Mus musculus: one gene and its partners. The protein of the gene in region 4 binds, or shares a complex with, the protein of the main gene of each other region. Links are inferred from orthologs where the notes say so. Each region holds a gene or a part of one and is shown on either strand. Other genes may lie near its edges. The genes, in order: Lsm6, Usp39, Prpf6 and Ppih.

What was found.
Region 1: Ppih (region 4) and Lsm6 share a complex: the UniProt entries of both Homo sapiens proteins name them as parts of the U4/U6-U5 tri-snRNP complex. The link is inferred for Mus musculus from reciprocal best matches to the Homo sapiens genes PPIH and LSM6.
Region 2: Ppih (region 4) and Usp39 share a complex: the UniProt entries of both Homo sapiens proteins name them as parts of the U4/U6-U5 tri-snRNP complex. The link is inferred for Mus musculus from reciprocal best matches to the Homo sapiens genes PPIH and USP39.
Region 3: Ppih (region 4) and Prpf6 share a complex: the UniProt entries of both Homo sapiens proteins name them as parts of the U4/U6-U5 tri-snRNP complex. The link is inferred for Mus musculus from reciprocal best matches to the Homo sapiens genes PPIH and PRPF6.

The regions. Positions count from the first base shown.
Region 1 is NC_000074.6:78,807,195-78,812,382, forward strand, and holds part of Lsm6 (U6 snRNA-associated Sm-like protein LSm6), read right to left. Parts: intron 2,867-5,188; coding exon 2,753-2,866; intron 1,052-2,752; coding exon 1,017-1,051; 3' UTR 1-1,016. UniProt on the Homo sapiens protein: Plays a role in pre-mRNA splicing as component of the U4/U6-U5 tri-snRNP complex that is involved in spliceosome assembly, and as component of the precatalytic spliceosome (spliceosome B complex).
Region 2 is NC_000072.6:72,341,416-72,347,267, forward strand, and holds the start of Usp39 (U4/U6.U5 tri-snRNP-associated protein 2), read right to left. Parts: upstream 3,761-5,852; 5' UTR 3,735-3,760; coding exon 3,470-3,734; intron 1,554-3,469; coding exon 1,484-1,553; intron 1-1,483. Other genes in the region: 0610030E20Rik (UPF0561 protein C2orf68 homolog), read left to right, coding at 5,816-5,852.
Region 3 is NC_000068.7:181,606,821-181,612,116, reverse strand, and holds part of Prpf6 (pre-mRNA-processing factor 6), read right to left. Parts: intron 3,998-5,296; coding exon 3,829-3,997; intron 1-3,828. UniProt on the Homo sapiens protein: Involved in pre-mRNA splicing as component of the U4/U6-U5 tri-snRNP complex, one of the building blocks of the spliceosome.
Region 4 is NC_000070.6:119,317,100-119,322,880, reverse strand, and holds the start of Ppih (peptidyl-prolyl cis-trans isomerase H), read left to right. Parts: upstream 1-2,357; 5' UTR 2,358-2,406; coding exon 2,407-2,472; intron 2,473-2,647; coding exon 2,648-2,712; intron 2,713-3,027; coding exon 3,028-3,051; intron 3,052-3,316; coding exon 3,317-3,361; intron 3,362-4,294; coding exon 4,295-4,337; intron 4,338-5,760; coding exon 5,761-5,781. UniProt on the Homo sapiens protein: PPIase that catalyzes the cis-trans isomerization of proline imidic peptide bonds in oligopeptides and may therefore assist protein folding. Participates in pre-mRNA splicing.

The DNA of each region.
Region 1 (5,188 bases), on a different chromosome or scaffold from region 4:
CCTCTCCAGAAAGCACACCCTCCCTCCTTAGCTGTCCATCTGCCTCCACTTCCTCCAGCCGGGCAATTGCTCTAAAACTGTCCGACCTCCCGAGACAGGGATCTGTTTAGATTGAAGGAGGGTAAGGAAAGCCCTAGCGTCCATGCAACCAAAGCACCCACACACAGTCCACAGACAGCACAAGCCCGCTCAGCGGGAGTCACGTGACCTGAAGGCCAAGAATACAACCCTTTCCCCAAGGCCACTTGCTAAAGCAAAAAGCAGGAGAAACTTTCGCAGCCGAAGCTCAGTGCCTGGAAACTGAGTCTAAGCACTCTGGGCTTGCACCACCTCAGCCACAGCCAGTTTCTCAGGAACAGTAGAGCTCCTCCCCTGGCTGGCGTAACCAGCCATTGCACCAACACTCTCAACAGGGAGCAAGTTAACATGAAGAGTCTAACTGCACAGGAGGCTTCCAGGCAGTGTCTCACCTCACGTGGCTGACCTTTCCAATTCCTGACTCTACAGTTGCACTCCTTTGTGGAGATACCACCACTAACTAGGTGACTAAATAAACAGCTGATTTTCTGACCTCTTGTCCCTTTATAGCCCAAGGCTGAAACCATATGACTTTCTATCTACCTGCTTTAAATGGTACGGATGGTGAGTAGAGAAAGAGACAAAGGATGCCTCCAGAATGCTTGATCACAGGTTCCGGGATGTACCACTTAGTCAGCTGAATACGTAATCAACCAATGGAATGACAGGGCAGGAATCTTAGGTAAAATAATCCTGGAGAAACAAACTGTTTTAGTTTTAGCATTCTGTACAGGCAGAAATGATAAAGACTGAGACATAAATGTGAAAAACTTAAGAGTCGATCTGTAATGCAATACCTCTATCTTATTCCAATGTCAATTAAACAAACAAACAAACAAACCCCCACCAGCCACCATGAAAACAGGCCAACTAAGATGGTAAGAGAACCAAAACCACTTCATCTATCCATCTCTGAAGAGCACTGCCTCCTGGTGTCTTCACATCCGCCTCTTCTGTGTACTTATGTACAGCACTGGAAAGACAAGAGAACGAGCAGTCACTCGAGGGGCACAGCATCGGTTCAGTTTTAAAGGCATTCATGGGTCCTGGCCTACACCTCGAACACTTTAAAAGACTGTTTCTACCATGCAATGAAGGTCTCTATAAAACAAGCTTTGCGTCTAGACCGGGCTTGGACATCTTACCTGATTATAACTAGTCTTATCTATGCATGTTACTGACTTTACAAATTATGACTGGGAATTAGAAAAGTGAAAGTGCCTAAAATGTAAGAATGATTTGTAAATAGCTATATCACAAGTTTTGAAAAGGGCGAATCAGCCAGATCTGTTAGGTTAGGTGTCACATTCAGAATGACTAGCACATGTGTCTGGAGAGACGACGCCCATCACTTAAGAGCAGATGTAACTTGCAGATGTTACGGAGCAACAGGGCTGGGTCCCCAATTCCTACAAAGCAGTTCACAACCAACTGTAAATCTAGTTCCAGGGAGTCCAGTGACCTTGTGTGGCCTCCTCAACTACCAGGCACGCATATGATGTACTTACAGACATGCAGACAAACACTCATACACATGAAAAAAATGTAAAAGAAAGAAATGGCATTATTTTCGTTTATCTCCCCAGTTTACTCTGTAAATTGGTTTACTCTGATAATTTCCATAGGAGGAAAAAAATGAGAAAACATTTTTAAGAAAGCAAAGTCCTTATTCTGAGATTAGTATAAACCTTTGGTGTCATCCAACATGTATTTTCGCCAGTCATTCTTAGCACAGTGGAATGTGTGCTGCACAGAGATAGGACAAAAGGGGCTCTGGTCAGGCTGTCACCTAAGGTGTACCCTCCCTCTCCCATCCCACACATCTTCAGATACGAACAAGCTTGTTCAAAGTGAACAGTAGATGTTTCCTCAAAGAGTCCAGCACAGACTTCAATCAAGTGAACTAGGATCCTCTTTAAGACCCAACTACAAGTAGTAGGAATAATGACACCTGTTACTGAGGATGGCAGTAAAGTGTAGGAGCCATCAGAATAGGAGGAAAGCCACTGCCTGGGAAACCAGACAGGCTAGGTGGATGTCAGTGTAGGAATGGCTCCTGCTATGGGGGCTACTTAAGAGCATAATATTTCCAAGCAAAAGGAGGAGGGCAAGTAAGAATAACATGAAATAGAAGAAATTCTACTGAACTGCAAGCAAGGTATGTCTACAAAAGTCAGGATATTTAATTCCTAACGAGACCTAACTTTTAAGGCTTTTAAGAAGAGAACTTGAGAGCCACGCCTTCTGTCCTACTTCTGACACACGGAAAGGTACAAAGCTCCACAAAAGGCACCTAAATCTTGAACAGAAAAAGGACAAAGGACAGGCTAAATGTCAAGGGCGTTTTGTGGCACAGGATGGCTTCCACTCCCAGACAGCACTGCGAGAGTACAGTATGTGGTTGTGTGCCGCACACCCTCTGGGTCCCTGGTCTAATGGGCCTGCTTAGTATACCAATACCCCTCAGCAACTGAGAAAGAGAATTTCTAGTTCCAACCTCCATGGAAAATCCTCTTCCCACTCACAAACAGACCTGGTTTATACTAAAGACCTAAAATATAAGTACAACAAACAAGCAAAAGTAAAGAGAACCTTAACACTTAGACGCCCCGCAGCTCCCTATTACACGCAGGAACGGCCTATTCTGAACACTCAATGGAAGGGAAGCTCTTACCATTGTTTCCTCGGATGAACGCATCTCCGTACTTATTCTTCAGCTGTCCATTTACATACTCCTCTGTCTGTTCCAGGGCTATATTCATGTAGCCATCCAGGCAGGCCAGGACCCCTGGAGAAAAGTAAGACAGAATTCAAAATTACAGGCTATATCTTAGAACTGACAATCACTTTATTCATTAGCCTTCAGACACATAATATAAAAATTCACACTGTAAACAAAACTCAATAGACTTAAACACAAAAGGCGCCTGCCTTTCCTCGGTGCCCCTGTGAATGAAGGCTGGGCGGGCAGAGCATGAGAGGAGCTGTGCATCCACCACAAGACAGGCAGCCAACTGTCACTCCCTCCTGGGACGTGTGCTCACCACAGCAACTTTGAAAGCCTTCACAAAAGTATAAGCATTAGAATATTCCAACCAAAATGCCCTTCTATGGGAGCCCGGGACAGACATGGCAACTATGCAGGGACAAATGAGCCTCCATCGAGGTGACATTTGTTACTTCAGCCACTCGCTCGCTCGGTGAAATAGGGATCTGGCAGTTTGTCTCAGTCTTTCACAACATCTACTGCAGCAGATGAATGGACCCAGGGTGAAGAGGAAGTCTCCACAATCTGTTAAGATAATAGACAGCAGGTGCTCCTGAGAGACCATCTCAGAGCTGTGGCTCTCAGCGAGGAGCAGCTTGGGAACAGAGAGCAACATATTGCATTACAACACACTGCATTCTGTTTTGTCAGAGTTGGACTATTTTTAAAATCAAAACTAATAGAGAAAAACGGCTACAAACATGCCAGGGAGCTTTCAAGGAAAACAGCTCGGGTGGATTTTTACTCGTGTTAAGATGGCATAAATTTCTAAAATCTGACCAGAAGATTTTTTTCAAAAGATGAAGCTAGTAAGCTTCTAATTCTCATCTCTAAGCAAAACTGATATTTTAAAAGAGAATAAAAACACACCACAGATTCAATTCAATTAACTAAGTCAATAGTCCCATTTAAGATCTTAACTTCATTAATATGCTCCTGGCTCTCTGCTCTGCCCCCATTATCCTCTAGACAGAGGTTTCTTTTCAAATCTCTGTGTGTGTAATCTGAGCACAAGACATTAACCGAACAGAATTCTATGAGAAGGGATAAACTTTCAAAGAATCAGACTGGACTGTCAACTATCAAGAACAATAACTTCCTAGCCAAAGAAAGCTTAAGACAGTCTCCCAGTTTGCTTCTTCTCTGCTATGCTACACTGAAAGCATATTCAGAGACGAGTAGGAAACTTGCACTGCATGATATGGAATTAGACAACAGGGTCATTCAAAATGTAACATCACTATTATTCACTGTTTGTGAGTTGAGACTGGGAGGGAACAAGCAGAAAGAAAAAGGGCTTGAAGATAGCTGGCTATCATAGGACGACCCTGACTCAAAAGCAAGTAACCAAACATACACAAAATATTGGCAACAGGCTATTTACGTCAAAAAACTAAGACAAAAACAAAGTGATTTCCCCCTCTATGTTTTTAAAGATTTCATTTTACTTGTTATGGTGTGTATGGGTGTAGGTACATGCACACGAGTATAGGTGTCCTCAGAGGCCAGAGGTTGGAGCTGGAGTTCCAGGAGGTTGGGAGCTGCCAATGTGAGCACCAGGAATAGAATCCAGGTCCTCTTGGAGAGCATTATGCACTCCTAACTGCAGAGCCATTTCTCTAGCCCCTTACCTTTTGGCAGTGCTGGGGGTGGAACCCTCCTACTAGAACTACTATACCCTGTGCTAGAACTTAGTGGGTTACTAAATATTTATTTTCATTTTATATGTGCGAGTGTCTCCCCTGCATGTGCATTGTCTTCTGCCTCCAGAGGTCAGAAGAGGCATCGGATCCCTTGGAACTGGAGTTAGAGACGGTTGTGAGATGCCTCGTGGGTGGTGGGAACTGAATCTGGGTCCTCTGCAAGAGCAGCCAGTGCTCTTATCTGCTGAGTCAGCAATTTCTTAACACCGGTTTCCAGTCAAGCTTCAGTAAGTGCTAGCTCCTCACTTCCTAGTGAGAACAACCACAAAATCTCAGAGTTTATAGAGAACAAAGTGACAACGTATTAAAGTGCTTAGCACACATGTCAATGTGTGGGGAAAGGAAAAGTTTAAAGAACTTTAGAGAAGAGACCGAGATAGCCACACAACTCTGCTGAATCAGTCATCTCGCTGTGAGACAGCCTAAGCAGCTTAGCACATCTCAATTTGAGAAGAGTAGGCATGTCATTATTTTAAACAGAATCTGCTATCATTTCCCAGAACTACTTATGAGTTGCTGAGATGCAGCTCCAACCATATGACACTATGTCCACCTCCGATGGCCTCTGCCTTGTCTTCAGTATTCTTCATTTCCTTTCAGGTTGGTTGTTTTTGTTTTGAGATAGGGTCATATTGAGTCC
Region 2 (5,852 bases), on a different chromosome or scaffold from region 4:
AACTAAGAAATTAGTGCTTCAACTATATAAGCCGCATGTCAAACCACCAAGAGCCTCGTGTAGCCTGCGCTTCCCACAGCAAACATCCCCTCTTAAGAGCAACTGCTGATGGGTTTGGTGGGGCACCTACAACCCCTACACTCAGGGCTTAGGTTGGAGAGTTAAGATTTCAATGTTTGCCTGGGCCATATATCAGAACCTTGTTTCAAAAAACAAACAACATTTTAAAACCCAATTCTCTGTTGTGGAGAATTCTATTGGAGAGCATCATTCTAGAAGATAGGTTGAGGACAACTGAAAAACCAGAGAATATACAAGAAAAGAGGACTGTCTCTGCCATACAAAAACAAGGAAACAAATCAAAACTTTGGGGACTGGAAGAGACGGCTCAATGGTTCAGAGCACTTGCAGACAGGTAGAGTTCAGTTTGCAGCACCCACACAGCCACCCACAAGTTCACTTCAAAGGGAGTTGGGGCCTCTTATGGCCTCCACAGGCCCCTCATGCACATGACCTTGTGCAGGGACACACATACACATAAATAACAACAAAAGTCTAGGAATTCTCCTCTGAGAACCCCATGACCATGCTCTTTAGTGTATCTTACTTTCTTTTTTTTAAACTAATAAAATTTATTTTAAAATATACAACTCAGTATTGACTTTTTTTAAGTCACCAAAATAATTTAAAAATTTAGTTAAATGCCTCTTAAATATACATGATATCTTCTGAAGCTAAAAGTAATACACACTCAACCAGTTTTTAAAATCTGTATCTTTCTTGTAAGCTCTTTCCTTTAACCTGTGTGCTGAGGCTGATATTAAAGTACCTTCAAAGGCAAGGTGGTGCAGGCTTTTAATCCCAGCGCTCAGGAGGCAGAGGCAGGCAAATCCCTGAGTTCAAGGACAACAACCTGGTTAGGTTCTAGGACAGCCAGGGACCACACACACACACACATCTCAAAAAACAAAACAAAACAAAAAGCGCACTCTGCCACTATAAAGGGACAACATGGCTGAGCATGGTGAGAAGCACAATTTTCTAGGCAGACAGGCATAAAAGGAGGAGAGTTAGAATGCTTCAATGCTCTGTTTAGAGAATTTTCTACTGTATTCTGCATCTCAAAATCTTCTGATGGGGCTGGAGAGATGGCTTAGCAGTTAAGAGCACTGGCTGCTCTTCCAGTTGTTCAATTCCTAGCACCCACGTGAGAGTTCACAACTATCCGTAACTCCAGTTCCAGGGGATGCGGTACTCCCACAGACATCCATGCAGCTCCAGGGGATCTGACACTCTCACACAGACATAAATGCAGGCAAAATACCAACATACATAAAATAAAAGTAAATTTTTAAAAATCCACTGATTTTGTTTGTTTGCATAGTATTGGTGATTAAACCTTGGGCTTATGACATGCCAGGCAACTGCTCTACTACTGAGATACATCACCAAGTCTTGCCCTCAGCCTTTCTATATTACTGACCTATTAATGGTATCCAAGTACGGGCAGTGACGACTCCTCCGGTCTTCAGAATCCACTCGGCCATTCTTTGCTGAGAAGAAATCCATACAGGCTGTTAAATGGGAAACTTGTGCTGGAAAGTAACTCAGTGGTAGAACACTTAACTAGCACAGGCAAGATCTGCTCAGTGGTAGAACACTTAACTAGCACAGGCAAGATCTGCTCAGTGGTAGAACACTTAACTAGCACAGGCAAGATCTGCTCAGTGGTAGAACACTTAACTAGCACAGCCAAGATCTGCTCAGTGGTAGAACACTTAACTAGCACAGCCAAGATCTGCTCAGTGGTAGAACACTTAACTAGCACAGCCAAGATCTGCTCAGTGGTAGAACACTTAACTAGCACAGGCAAGATCTGCTCAGTGGTAGAACACTTAACTAGCACAGCCAAGATCTGCTCCAGCATCATAAATGGAGGACTGGAGGCTCTCCTCAAATCACAGGCACAAAACAAGCAAACACAAAACAAAACAAAATCACCGAAATGGGAACATTTGATCACTAAGATTGGGAGAGTTTGATCAGTTAGGTTAGGTTCTAGGACAGCCAGGGACCACACACACACACATCTCAAAAAGATGAGCTTTTCCATTTCCTTTAGTGACAACATTCAAAAAAAGGCCACTAATGAAATAAGTTGCAAACTAAGAGTAGGTCTATTACATATATAACCAATGAAAGATTAATTTATATATTACATAAAGGAATCCAGGCAAGTGAGATGGCTTAGTAAAGGTGCTTACCAGCAACCCAACTATCTGAGTTCAATCCCTGTGACACACAGGCTAGGAGAGAAAACGGACTCCCACAAGTTGCCCACTGACTTCCACACATACACCATGGTACATGCATACACATAAATAAATGCCAGGCATTGGTGGTGTACATTAATCCTAGCCCTTGAGTGAGTAGGCTAGGTGAAATCTCTGAGTTTGAGGCCTACCGACAAAGTTCCAAGACAGCCAGGGCTACTTAGTAAGAGCCTGCCTAAATAAGCAAATAAATAAATAAATAAATATCAAATGGGCAGGAAAAGTATCATGAAATATATCACAAGTACTAAGATAAGCTGAATATCCTTAAATCTACTATTAGTACAAGAACTGTATTGGTTCTGAGAGTTAATCCTAATGTGTTAACTCTAACTAAAGTTAACCCTAATGTGTTAGCTTGACACAGCTTCATGGATGCTGACAGAAGCCACATGATCACAGACTAAAACAAAGAGTCTACTACAGCAATAACAGTACCCTATTATATGACATCTTTGCCAGATCCTAGAGTTAAGTCCCATAATAGAATAGAAAAAGAACCAGTGCTCATAGTGGGTTGCCTTACAGAAGATCCCTGCCCTTAAAGAAGATTATATCTTCTTGTGACCTTACTCCCTACCTATTGCTCTATGGAATAATACTATCTGTCTCCCAAGGCTGGTCATTACATCAGCATCCTTTACAAGACAACATGGAACAACCCCCATGCAAAACCCAGGAGAAGCATTAGTGTCTCCAAACTATTCAACTAGTACAAAGTCAATACTTGAGTTGAGTGCACTGGGACTCAACTAATGGTCTTATTCCAAAAATTACAACATGACTCTGACTCTTAGGAATTTGTGGGGGGTGGGGGGGAACGGAGAAGGGTCCATCTGTACAGTCGTCAGTAGAGCACCTGACCCACGTAGGCTATACGTGAATAGGGAGATGCTGTGATGTATTATGACAGGCAATCCAGCCTGCTGGATTCAAGCCTGGTCAGGGAGGCAGAAGAAAGGAAAAGTAAAAAGCAGACAAAAACTGGGCATCTCAGACTTCAAGAAGGGGAAGCAAGAGTCTAAGGCCATCTCTGGTTACAACTTCAAGTTCCTGAGACCCGTCTTTAAAAATATAGGAGGAGAAAGAAGAAAGCAGGCGAAGGAAGAGGACGCGCCCGGCCCGGCCCCGCGCACCTCGCACCTCCCGCTCGGGCTCCGAGTCTTCATCGGCCTCGCGCTCACGCTTCACCCGCACGACCGGGAGCGCGGGCGCCGGGACCTCTCGCGCAGCCGGCTCGGCCTCCCGCTTCACGCGGACCGGGCTACCCCGGGAGCTCGCCGCCTCGGGCTCCTTCTCACGGTCTCGCTCCTTCTTGATGCGACCCGAGCTGCCACGAGACTCGGACTCACGCTTCCCGCGGGTGGAACCATGGGACTGCCGCTTGGACCGGCTAGACATCGCCACCACCAGTTAGGAGCTTCCGCGCCGGCGCCGAGCACGGGCAGCAAGCAGCCAATCAGAAGTCGAGATGGCCTCATAGAAACGCAGCGCGCTACGAGTCGCTGTGAGGGACAATACAGGCTTATAAAACGTTATAAGCGCTGCTGGCCCAACCGAGATAGTTTCGAACATATTGTGTCCTTGTCCAACATCTCTTCACGGCTTAAATAGGAACCTTTCACAGGCTACTTTCATTTTAGGGAAAAGGAAGCTAGCACTCCACCCGAGATAGCTTCAGGACAATTTGTGTCTCGAAACGACGATCCAGAGATGTCCCCTGATCAGGGACTGATGACCTACACAGGAAAAGGAGTCAGTATTCCCAAATTAACTCCTTCATTCAGGCTTGTACCTGGGAACTTCAATTAGTATCATATTTAAAGGGCTCTTGAAATGAGTTTGCAAATACTCTGCTAAGGCGCATTTATTGTTTAGCTAATAAAACTTCAAATTCAGCCTTACCACTGAGTCATGCCTTAGTCCCTGCCTATTTGAACAGTTCCATCGAAGTATAATTGATATACAAGATAGTACACGTTTGATGTGTCTAATTTGCTAAATTGCGATGTATGAACACTTACAGATTCAAGAGAAGAAACTTGTCTCACCCCAGAAATGTCCTGTGCCCACGTGGAATCCCACCCAAACCACAATAGTGACTACATTTCCTAGAATTTTATGTTCAAGTATGAGTCGGTGTTTCCTCTTTCTGACCAGGTCTCATTCACGTCTAGGGTAAGGCAGTCTGTTCCTTTACTTTCAATATAACAATTCCATCAAGCAGATGCACTTGATTCTGTCACTGCTCTAATAAGTTTCTGATGTTTACATTTTAAACTGAAAACTTGGAAAGCTATACTCTCAGGATCAGGCAAAACAAATCCCAAAGTTTAAGGCCAACTGAGCTACATAGTTAATTCAAGACTATCCTAGGCTACATGCCAGAAGGAAAGAAACAAGAGAAGGCTATGCACTATTAGACCCTCAAAAGCCTTGGTTCCTCTCATGGTCAGTTAAGCAAGTGGTCTGGACACCAGCAGTGCAGCTCCAATGTGGCTGAAATAGGGACTGGGTATGGGTGGGGAAAACTTACCTACGTGAGCACTTGTCTGCCTCATTGCCTATCAGAGACAGATGTTTTTAGTATGTCCACTAATAAGCAAACAAACGGAGGAGATTGGCTCAATTGGTGAGAAAGCTTACTGTCCAAGCATGAGTCCAAAACTCCAGCACCCGTGGAAAAAGCTGACAGTGGGCTCATGCCTATAGTCCTAGCCATGTGGGAAATGGAGACAGGAGGACCACTAGGGCTTGGTGGCTGTCAGCTGAATTACAGGTTAAGTGAGAGGCCCTATCTCAAAGGAACAGGTAGAGAATACAGACAAGAGCACCCAGTGTCGTCCTCTTGCCTATACACACACACTACAAAAACAAAATTAAGGAAACCTAGGCACATTTAGATTAAAGAGTCAACCAAGTGGCATATATTAACATGTCTTCTTTAATTCTGCCATAAAGAAATGTCATTTGTAGGGAAATGGTGAACCTAAAGATGTTAAGCGAATTCAGTATAATTTAGAAAGAGTAATCACCAATATTGCATGTTTTTCCCATATGTAGGACCTAGATTTTAAGTGTGTATGTGTGTGTGTGTGTGTGTGTGTGTGTGTGTGTGTGTGTAAGAGGGGAGAGAAGGGGAGAGAACTATAGGAGGCAAGGAGGGGGTCTAAAAGAAGATGGAGCAGAGGTGATGGAGATGACAAAATATTTCTCATGAGCAGAATCTAGCTTTAAAGACAGGAGCAAAGTAGATACACACAACACATAGACACACGCATATGATCTCATAGTGAAGTTTATTATACTAAAGGGCTAGGAAAAGAAAGTCAACATCTCTAGACTAATAGAATGCATTTTCAGTATTCGTGGATGACTCGAATTTTTAAAAATAATTTCCTGGTATTAGCTATATATACTCCTTCTTTCGTTCAGGTGATACCACAAAGTAAGAGGACCTCCAGCTCTACGGGCGCTCACAGATGAAGGTTCTCAAATTTCGAAAGCATCTCTGCTCCG
Region 3 (5,296 bases), on a different chromosome or scaffold from region 4:
AGATAAGCTATGTGTGCCACATACGGCAAAACTGAAGAAGTGCAATTGCCCAAGGTTTTTTGAAGCCCAGGAGATCATGAGTGATTCTATATGCTAGATATTGAACTACAGAGCATGGGTATACACTACTGGGTTTTGTTTTACTTAAATCTGATAGTTAACTATGCCCTGGCTCTTCCTTTATAATAGGGTAAAGGTTTCTCCATATTGTCTCAGCTGAAGCCATCTTTGGTTTCTACTCCCTGCCCTGAAAAGTCCCATGGGCAAATATCCAACCCTGTTCTAGAAACTCAGGGTCGAAATGCCCCAGCTAACTGCATATGCTTGGCTCTTGTTAAATTGCTTGTTTGCTTCCCTCTGCAACTGCCAACCATGATGTAGTTTTTTCTGTGTCCTTCATCTTTAAAAACTCCCTGTAATATGCACTTGGGGCTGCTCTATGTTCTTCTCCAGGCAATCACTAGTGAGCTTAATACAGAACAGACTCTCAATTCAAACTCTGATCTCTGGGTTACCCCATAACACTTTGGGGATTAAAAACAAATACATAACTTGTTTTCCATTTTACAAGGCTCACAATTAAAGAGATATTGAACTTTTTAAAGTGTTGGCAAATTTAAAGACTGTGGGATTTTTAAAGTTGTATTTTAATGTGTATTTAAATATGATATGAAAGTGGAACACAGAGAATACTAGGAGTTAAAAAAATTTAACTTGGGGAGGGGGGTGCTGGAGAGATGATGACCCAGTGGCTAAGAGCACTGACTGCTCTTCCAGAGGTCCTGAGTTCAATTCCCATCAGACCTCATTGCAGATGGCTCACAACCATCTGCAATGAGGTCTGATGCCCTTTTCTGGTCTGTCTAAAGAGAGCAATGGTGAATACATGAAATAAATAAATCTTTAAAAAAAAAAATTTAACCAGCCAGGCCAGGCGTTGGTGGCACACGCCTTTAATCCCAGCACTGGGGGGGGGGGGGGGAGAAGAGCAGAGGCAGACGAATTTCTGAGTTCGAGGCCAGCCTGGTCTACAGAGTGAGTTACAGGACAGCCAGGGCTACACAGAGAAACCCTGTCTCCAAAAAAAAAAAATTTTTTTTTTTTTACTGGGAATGTGGGTGAGAAGAAACAGGAAAGTAGTTGGTAGGGGTGGGTTAACCAAGACTAAAGATGTATGGAAAACCACTACTTTGGAAACCATAATTTGTTTTTAAAAGAGTTTGAACACAAGTACTCTGCAGGAATAGATTTGGCGGTTTGAATAAAAATAGTCCCCATAGATCCACAAGGAGTGGCACCATTAGGAGATGTGGCCTTGTTAGAGAACTGTATCACTGTCTATTCCTGTTGTCTGTGGGTCTAGGCAGATGTAGACCTCTCCTGTACCATGTCAGGCCTGCGTGCCATCATGCTTCTAGCCATGATGATAATGGACTGAACCTCAGAAACTCTAAGCCAGCCCCAATGAAACGCTTGCATTTATGAGAGTTGCTGTGACCATGGTCTCTTCACAGCCATAGAAACCCTAGCTAAGAAACATGGGTCATTAACTGAAAATCTCAGACCAGATGTGGCAGCAGAATTTTAGTAGAGCCATTATATCTGATATGAACTCTGGAGTGATGGCACCTAGATTTAGAAGTAGCCTTTTGTAAATATTGTCATCTGAAGTGCATAACTTAGTCCTATGATATACCTGGCAAACCAGGAAGTCTCCTATGGATAAAAACTCCCTCAGACAACTTCTAGATCAGATAAGAGGTTTAGTATTTGGAAATTGACTTGCTAAAGGCACCTTTTGTGTAACAATAAAGAGGCTCTGCAATGGAGTCCAGAGTTCAGTCCTTCAGAGGCTGATCCCCTGCTGTTGAGAAGCCTGAAATTGGGCTGGTGAGATGGCTCAGTGGGTAAGAGCACCCGACTGCTCTTCCGAAGGTCCAGAGTTCAAATCCCAGCAACCACATGGTGGCACACAACCATCCGTAACGAGATCTGACTCCCTCTTCTGGAGTGTCTGAAGACAGCTACAGTGTACTTACATATAATAAATAAATCTTTAAAAAAAAAAAAAAAGAGAAGCCTGAAATTCAGCCTGCAATGTCTCTTTCTTGGACAGATGGTTCCAGAACACAGGATGCCTCCCAATGAATTCACCGGTCAAGGAAGCCCCAAAGGGTTCCTTTAAAACAACACAAACTGTTGCATTGTTCTTGGCTGCCCTCCATAGCAAGATGGTAGACCCTATTGCTGAAGACACAACACACTTTGGTTGCTGGACATAGAAAATTCCAGAAAAACTGGAATTGACCTGAAACTTTTTATTGCTGGCTGGCTTTTGTAGGGCTGAAAGGTGTCATGCAGGCCACTTAGGAAGAAATGTCATTAATGGCCTTATATCCAACAGTTAATCTTGAATGCAATAATACAAGTCTTCCAAGCAAAATGTACCCATGGGTGCAATAGAGGTGGGGTTAACCAAGTGCTTGAGGCCTGCTCCACTGTAATATTTTCATACATGAGTCTATAAATCTGCACAAAAGCCTATGACTTGGGAGGTCCAGGCTATAGGGAGAAACCTACTTCTATTGCTTTACTAAATAGAAATGTCAAATTGGGGGACTGGAGAGATGGCTCAGCAGTTAAAGAGCACTGACTGCTCTCCCGAAGGTCCTGAGTTCAATTCCCAGCAACCACATGGTGGCTCACAACCATCTGTAATGAGATCTGATGCCCTCTTCTGGGGTGTCTGAAGACAGCTACATACTTACATATAATATTATACTTATATAATATTATACATATATATATATATATATTATACATATTATACTTACATATAATAAATAAATAGATAGATAAATAGATAGATTTTTTTTAAATGTCAAATTGCTTTCTACTTATGTTTATATCCATAGATCCAGGCTACTCCTAATCTTTACCAAAGTAGTCTTCTACAGTGAATGAAAAGAAAACCTAACAAATTGTCAAAGTGCTAAGAATAAATTATAGTAAGTGCTCATTCCTAAAATATCTATATCATCCGCCCCTTCATAACTAGAGATAATCATTGATGAGAGGTTAAAAGGTATCTAAGATTCAAGGCCAGCCTGGTCTACAGAGTGAGTTCCAGGACAGCCAGGGGAACACAGCGAAACCCTGTCTTAAAAAAACAAAAAAAAAAGGTATCTAAGAGCAAGGGATGGGTGGGTGCTGTGAAATGCTATCTTCTGAGTATGACATAGCTACTGCATTGGGGAACAAGACAAAGTTAACATCAGTCAATATTCCAACAGGTTGCACTCAGTGGGTTGACTCTGTGGGTACCAAAAAAGAGAAGAGATCATGAAGATGAGATGAGAAAGAGACCTGTTGGGAAGTACTAGGGTTGAGGTGGACCAGAAGTAGATAGGATCAAAATACACTGTACACACGTGAAGTTGTCAAATAATAAACAAAACATATTCTAAAAAAACTTCAGTTTTTTAGAGATTAGAGAGATAGCTTATCAATTAAGAATGCATAACTCCTCTTTCAGAGGACTCTAGCACAGTACCCAGCACTCTCTTTGGGAGAGTCACAAACACCTCTAACCCATGTCCTGGGAGATCCAGTGGCTCTGCCTACCTCAGGCCATGCATTCATGTGCACCCAGGCCGTGCATTCGTGTGCACACAGGCCGTACATTCGTGTGCACCCCGGCCGTGCATTCATGTGCACCCAGGCCGTGCATTTGTGTGCACACAGGCCATGCATTCGTGTGCACACTTACTCATCCACAGAACTTAAAAATAATAAAAGTAAACCTTTAAAAACTATTTTCAAAATCACCTCATCGTAGTTGGTATCATTCAGATCTTCATCATCATCATCAGCCGCCTGATTTTTCTTCATCTGGTCCCCCACAGTTCTCTTCCCTGGTGGGGCATGGCGATCATCCACAGGATCATTTGCATCCCGAGCAGGCCCGATGTCTGATCGGGTGGTGAAGCCAGTGGCACTAGGGGAAGCCCAGAAACATCATTATTTAAGTGACCCCGATCCCATGCTCTCTTTTGATCATCATTTAGTAACATCACTTCTCACACTTCTGGGAACTTCCAGAGATTCTAGAACCAATGAACTGGATGCCTACACATTCCTGGTCTTCTTTGTTTGCTAAACTTGTAACCTATAATGAGTAAGTCAAAGACCGTTTCTCTTCATTCCAAGGTGTCATTTCTTCTTCACATATACACACTATATAGGCCTATAGAAGTCTGAGTCTCACCCGGGCAGTGGTGGCGCACACCTTTATTCCCAGCACTTGGGAGGCAGAGGCAGGCGGATCTCTCAGTTCGCAGCCAGCCTGGTCTACAGAGTGAGTTCCAGGATAGCCAGGGCTACACAGAGAAACCCTGTCTCGAAAAACAAGAAAGAAAGAAAGAAAGAAAGAGAGAGAGAGAGAGAGAGAGAGAGAGAGAGAAAGAGAAAGAAAGAGAAAAAGAAAAGAAAGGAAAGAAAGAAAATGACACCTCATTCCCCAAAAGTGGGGTAAGTAGTTTTTGGCCATTCAATGGGTAATGGGTGTTTGTCATCAAAAGGCATGGAGGGGGTGAAGGGTTGGTTAAAAATTGTTAATGGCCAGGCAGTGGTGGTGCACGCCTTTAATCCCAGCACTCGGGAGGCAGAGGCAGGCGGATTTCTGAGTTCGAGGCCAGCCTGGTCTACAAAGTGAGTTCCAGGACAGCCAGGGCTACACAGAGAAACCCTAACTCGAAAAAAATTTTTAAAAGGCAGATTTCTGAGTTTGAGGCCAGCCTGGTCTACAAAGTGAGTTCCAGGACAGCCTGGGCTACACAGAGAAACCCTGCCTCGAAAAAAAATTTTAAAAAATTGTTAATGGTTTGGTCAGGGAGGAAACAAAACAAGGGAGGTTACATTCAGGGGACTGCTTTTTCTCTTTCTTTCCTCTATCCTTTCTCTCCTATCTACTGCTGGAGAGAAGGGAGGAGAAGGGATGAAAAGAAAAAAAAAAGGGGAATATTAGTCTAGAGAGAATCTCATATGAGTGTCACCTGTCAATAAAAAACCCTATAGCTAAAGAGCTGAGTCAGGAAATGGGAGGTGGGACACTAGCAGGAAGAGAGGATGCTGTGAAATAGAGAGAGGCTGAGGAAGAAGCAGGCCAGGACTGAAGGAGAGGTAACTAACCAGCAGGTAGATGAATTCAGGTTAGAATCGAGGGGAGATCTGAGCTGGAACACTGAGGAGACAGAGGTAAACCTCAGGGAGCCAAACTCAAGAGAGAATAAAGAGG
Region 4 (5,781 bases):
TGTATGTATTTTGATTTGAATTTTCCATTACATCTTTGAGAACTTCCTCCAGATCCACCCCCACTGCCCTACCTACCCAACTTGGTGTTCTGTCTCTCTCCTTTCTAAAGCTCACCAAAACCAATTTGTGATGCCCAAATATGCTTGGCTGTGTGGGCTTCCAATGAAGCAGGTGCTACACTAAAGCAATCTGATTCCCCCTCTTCCAGCAGCTATCAAGTGCCAATAGCTCCTTGAAGTATTTGTATCCTATTATACTTTTTTTTTCAAGGCCAGATTTCTGTGTATAGCCCTGGCTGTCCTGGAACTTGCTCTTGTGGATCAACTCAGAGATCTGCCTGTCTCTGCCCCCAGAGTTCTGGTATTATAGACATGTCCCACTACTGACTGGCAATAAAACATTCATTTAAATACATTTTTGAGGGCGAATGTTCATGTAGAAGTGAGGTTTGGCATTGAATACCTTTCTCAAATTCTGTAGTTTTAGTATTAATATTCATTTCTGTAAATGCACATGTGTGGATATGTACATCTGTACAGGCACTAAGGCCAGAAAAGGACACTGAATGGCTTCCTCTGTCATCTACCACCTATTATGTTGAAGCAGAGTCTCTCCCTCAACCTGGGCTTCCAGTTTTCTCCAAGAGGTTGGAAGCCAGTAAGCCCCAGTGAACATCCACCCTCCTCGAAGCTGGGCATGCAGGCATGTGGAGGGTACCCAGTTTGACACATGGGTGTTGGAACACTCTAGTCCTCCTGAGCCATCTCTCCAGCCCCAGTTCCAAAAGAATATAGCAATCCATGTATGTAATTTCAGCACTTGGGAGGCTGAGATAGGAAGTTGGAAGAGTTCAAAGCCAACCCATGATACACAGCAAGACTGTCTTAAAATTAAAAAAAAAAGTGAAAAAATGTTTCAAAAAAGACCTTAAGCTGGGCAGTGGTGGTGCATGCCTTTAATCCCAGCACTTGGGAGGCAGAGGTAGGCAGATTTCTGAGTTCGAGGACAGCCTGGTCTACAGAGTGAGTTCCAGGACAGCCAGGGCAATACAGAGAAACCCTGTCTCAAAAAACCAAAAGCAAAAACAAAACAAAACAAAAACCAAAAAACCTTAAAGGGTGTAACAACCAGGGCTGGAGAGATGGCTCAGTGGGTAAGAGCACTGACTGCTCTTCCGAAGGTCCTGAGATCAAATCCCAGCAACCACGCCCTCTTCTGGGGTGTCTGAAGACAAGTATAGTGTACTTACATATAAGTATCTTTGGGCCGGAGCAAGCATGAGAGAAGGAAAAGAGGGGGGGGGGGTAGCAACTGAATGCCCTCCAAAACAGAGGCAGAAGGGTACTTGGTAAAAGTGGTATAAGAGAAGCCAGCCTTTACTTCCTGGTCTTTGCTACCAGCAGTGGCAAACAGCATTTTAAATAGGCAAAGCCCCATACGATTTACTAGCCTAGAGACCCATCCCATGGGCAAACAACAATCCCTGAGACTGTTGTGCTTGCAGACAGGAACCTCGCATGGCTGTCCTGAGAGACTCCACCCAGGAGCTGACTCAGGGATGCAGAGACCACAGCCAAACATCCGATGGAGCTTGAGGACTCCTGAGGGCCTCCGAGGGGATTGGAACTCCACAGGAAAACCAAGAGTCAACTATGACCCTTGGGGCTCTCAGAGACTGAACCACCAACCAAAGAGCATAGACAGGCGGGACCTAGCCCCCTCCCACACACACACGGTCTTTCATGTGGGTCCCGAACAACTGGAGTAGGGGCTATCCCAAAAGCTGTTGCCCTGCTGTGGAATTCGTTTCTTCTGCTTGTCTGGACTCAGTGGGAGAGGATGAGGCCAGCCCTGCAGAGACTTGATGTGCTAAGGTGGAGGGAAAACCAGAGGGGGTCTCTACCCTCTCAGAGGAGAAGAGAAGGAGGGGGTGGGGAAACCGGGAGAGGCGGCAGCACTGGGGATGTAAATGTGAATTAAAAAATAAAAAATTTTACAATCATAAGAAAATAAATAAAATTACATTTCCAGCACCCGACTGAGCCAGGCTACAGTAACAAACCATTTTAAAATATGGAAGGTGACTCAGGGATCCTCGGCTCATGAGCTGTGACAGGGGACACCAAGTGTGACTGCTCAGGACATGCTGTCTGCAGAAGATTCATTTCTATTGCACTAATACAGTCATGCAAGTGGGGAGCCCACAGACTTTGACAAAGATGCCTGCGTTTCCTCCCCTCAGCTCCGACCAGCTCAGCCAAACAGTACCATTCCCAACAACCTCAGCGCGCGCCACACTTCCGGGGCGGGGCGCAATCGCGGTCCGTTTCCACTGCGTCTGCGCTCCGGATGAAGTTCGCGGGACCTGCCACCGGAAGCCGGGTTTCTACTTCCGGGTCAAAGCCATGGCGGTGGCAAATTCAAGTCCAGTCAATCCAGTGGTCTTCTTCGATGTCAGCATTGGCGGCCAGGTGAGGTGCGGGCGACCTAGCGGCCCGTGCGGGCTGGTTGGCCTCGGGTAAGGGAGGCAGCCCCTTATAGCCCTCCCGAGACCGGCTGGGCCAGGCGGCGGAGGGAGGTGGGAGCTTTCGAGCTTCGTGGACAGCGGTCGTGAGCTGAGTGTTGCGTCTCCCGTTTCTTCTGCAGGAAGTTGGTCGCATGAAAATCGAGCTCTTTGCAGACGTGGTGCCTAAGACGGCAGAGAACTTTAGGTAAGGATATGCTCCAAGTGAACCAGAGCTGAGCCCGAAGCCGGCCTCCAGTCGGTCTTTGCCATGTCTGCCTCTGTCCATCTATTCATTGCCTTGCAGCTCTGTGGTCTGGGTATTTCACTGGCCAAACAGCTACCGGCTGTGACTGATCCCATATCAACTTCTATCACTAGTCTACCTGCCCTGACATCCGCCCGATCAGTTAGTTGGCGGACATACTGGCCCCAGTGTTTGAACTCTCCTCTCCAGAGATTAGAGGTGCTTCAAGCAGTGATCGTACGAAGGCTAAATCGTTTGCTCTCTCTTTCCCTTTAGGCAATTCTGCACCGGAGAGTTCAGGTCAGTCTCAGATGTGTTTGATTTCTCTGCCTACTCCTGAAGGGGTGCCCTGGATGTTTGGTGAGGGTATTGGAGAACCATGAACAGGTCTTAAGTAATGGAAGATGATATGCAGAGAGAGGGTGACACCTTGAATGGGTTCTTTCTCTCTCTTTTTCCCCCTCCAGATCTTAGTGAGAGCCCTTTTAGCCTCTGGTGTAGCCTAAATGGGAAAGGCCCACCATTGTGTTTCCCCATTCCAAGTCTCTTCCTTCTTTGTTTACAGAAAAGATGGCGTTCCGATAGGATACAAAGGAAGCACCTTCCACAGGTAAGGGAGGTTTTTGGAAAACTGGAAATGCAGTCATTGCTTGGTATCTGTACAGGCAGTCCTGCACACCTGAGTTCAAACTCTGTGAGGCTTACGGCTGTTGTTTTAAATGGCATGTTCGCGGCTGAGGCTGTAGCTCGGTGGTAGAGAATTGGCCCAGCATTCATAAGGCCCTGGATTTGGTACTGAACACCATGAAGCCTATGCACAGCGCCTTAAGTCATCCCTGACTTGGTGGAATGCTGTATTGCAGAAACGATGCCAAGGAAAGCATGCTGTACCCTTTCAGTACCTGTTCAGTACAGGTGCGTGGCCACGTGCTCCCAGAGGTCTAAGCTCAGATCCTTAGGCTGCCACAGCAAGCACTTCACCCACTGACCCATCTCCCTGGCGCCAGTCAGGACTTCAGCAGAGGCTTTGCTAGTTACCGTTGCTAGGCAGTCATCTGTAGGAGCCTGGCTTTCATGATATATTTACTTATTTTTTGTTAGAGTTTGACAGAAGTTGCTCTATTCTAATCCTGAAAATGTCCATGTCTCCCACATAAGGGCTTTAAAGCTACAGTCTGTAACCCTCCCTAGCATTCTTGTGAAGTAGTATGTGTTTTCCGAGTTCTTCAAGGAAGGCTAAGCAAAGCGAAGGGCCATAGCTGGTGTACTAGCTAACACCATCAAGTCTCTGTGTGTGCAGTAGTCCATTCACCTAGATTTGCTGTTGTTCTTTTCCCCCAAATTGCAATAAGCCCTGGACATGATTTTTTCCTTTGGTGACTGTTGGTGATTCTAGCCTGGTTTCAGCCCCTTCCTGATGTTCAGGTGCGAACTCACGCATCTAAGATCAACTGAGTTAAGACTGTACTTGCTCGCCCTTTTCTAAGCTTCAGTGATTAATCCACTGAATCTTTTCTCAGGATTTTTTTTTTAACTGTTTCAGGGTCATAAAGGATTTCATGATTCAGGGTGGAGATTTTGTTAATGTAAGTACTGCTTCTTTTCTTTGTTATTTTTTTCTGGCAGGGCCCTAGTCTTGAGACTTAAGAGCAATAGCTAAGTTAAGTGGAGAGGGCATGGGATGTACTGTAGAGTTGCTGGCTACCACTGACTGTGTCCTTAGAACACATAACAATACTCTACTGAACCATAAACTTCCACTTTCCAAACCCTAGCTGTTTGTAACTAGAAACTGGGCTTTGCTGGCATACCTATAGGTGATCTGAGACGGTCCACATTCATTGTTCACAGAAAACTTTGAAATTGACTGCAATTTTTCCCTCAAAAGGAAGGGAGCTGACTGCTTTTGTCTCCCATTTTTCCTTCCACATCTGCACATCTTCTGTCACTGTCTAAAAACTCTAGTTTTTTGTTGGATTGCTCTGGGGGGGGTTAGGGGCCGGTCTTTCTTTCTCTTTTCCTTTTGAAAGCTAAGGTATTAATCACAAGCTGGTTAGCAAGCAAGGGATCAGATCAGGAGAGACAGGAAGTTTAAAGGGTGTTCGCTTGCTTGCTGAGGTAGCCCAGCAGATCCATTCTTCACAAAAAGACCATGACTGTTGGTGTCTCCATCCTTCCTTGGAGTGTGTCCAATAAGCTAGAATATCTCTTTCTTAAACCAGCTCTTTCCTTACCCATCCACCTCTGTGCATGCTGTCTCCTTGCTGTTAGCATTGTTTATGTGGGTGTGTTACTAAGTCCTTTTGTCTGAGAGATGGTCTTACTCCATCAGTTGTAAATTTAGTTAGATTTTTGTGAGTCTTTAGAGGTCTTCCTCCTACACAGGGTTGCAATGGCAGGCTTTAGGCTGAATCCTGCTTCCACTTAGGCTGCATTTTAACTATGTGATACTACTGGGAAATCTGGGGGACTGGAGAGATCGCTCAGCAGTTACACTGTTGACTCTTCAGAAGACCCAGGTTTGATTCCCAGCATCTACATAGCCATCTGTAACTCCAGCTCCATGAATCTGAAAAACAAATATGGGAGGGTTTGGGGGCAGAAAGCGAAGGGGCAGTGATGTGATTATAATCCCCAAAAACCTAAAATAAAATTTTAAATAATAATAAATGAATTTTAAAAAGGGAAAAAAGAGCTGGGCTTAAAGTGCAACAGTGTTTCTCCACACATCCAGTGTGTGTGTGTGTGTGTGTGTGGTGTGTGCGTGCACACATGTGCTCAAGAGCATGCAGGTGTACAAGCCCATGGATGTTGGGGCCAGAGGCAGACATGTGGTGTGCTCTGTCAGTCACTACCTTACTACCTGGAGACAAGGTTTCACTAGATGAGAAGCTGCTTGGTTCAGCTAGGGCAGCTGGCTGGCTAGCTCCCCTTAGCACTGCACCATTCTCCCTGGCCTTCCAGGGTGTGCAGCACTCCCGGCCTCTGATATGTCTCTTTTCTACTCAGGGCGATGGCACTGGAGTCGCC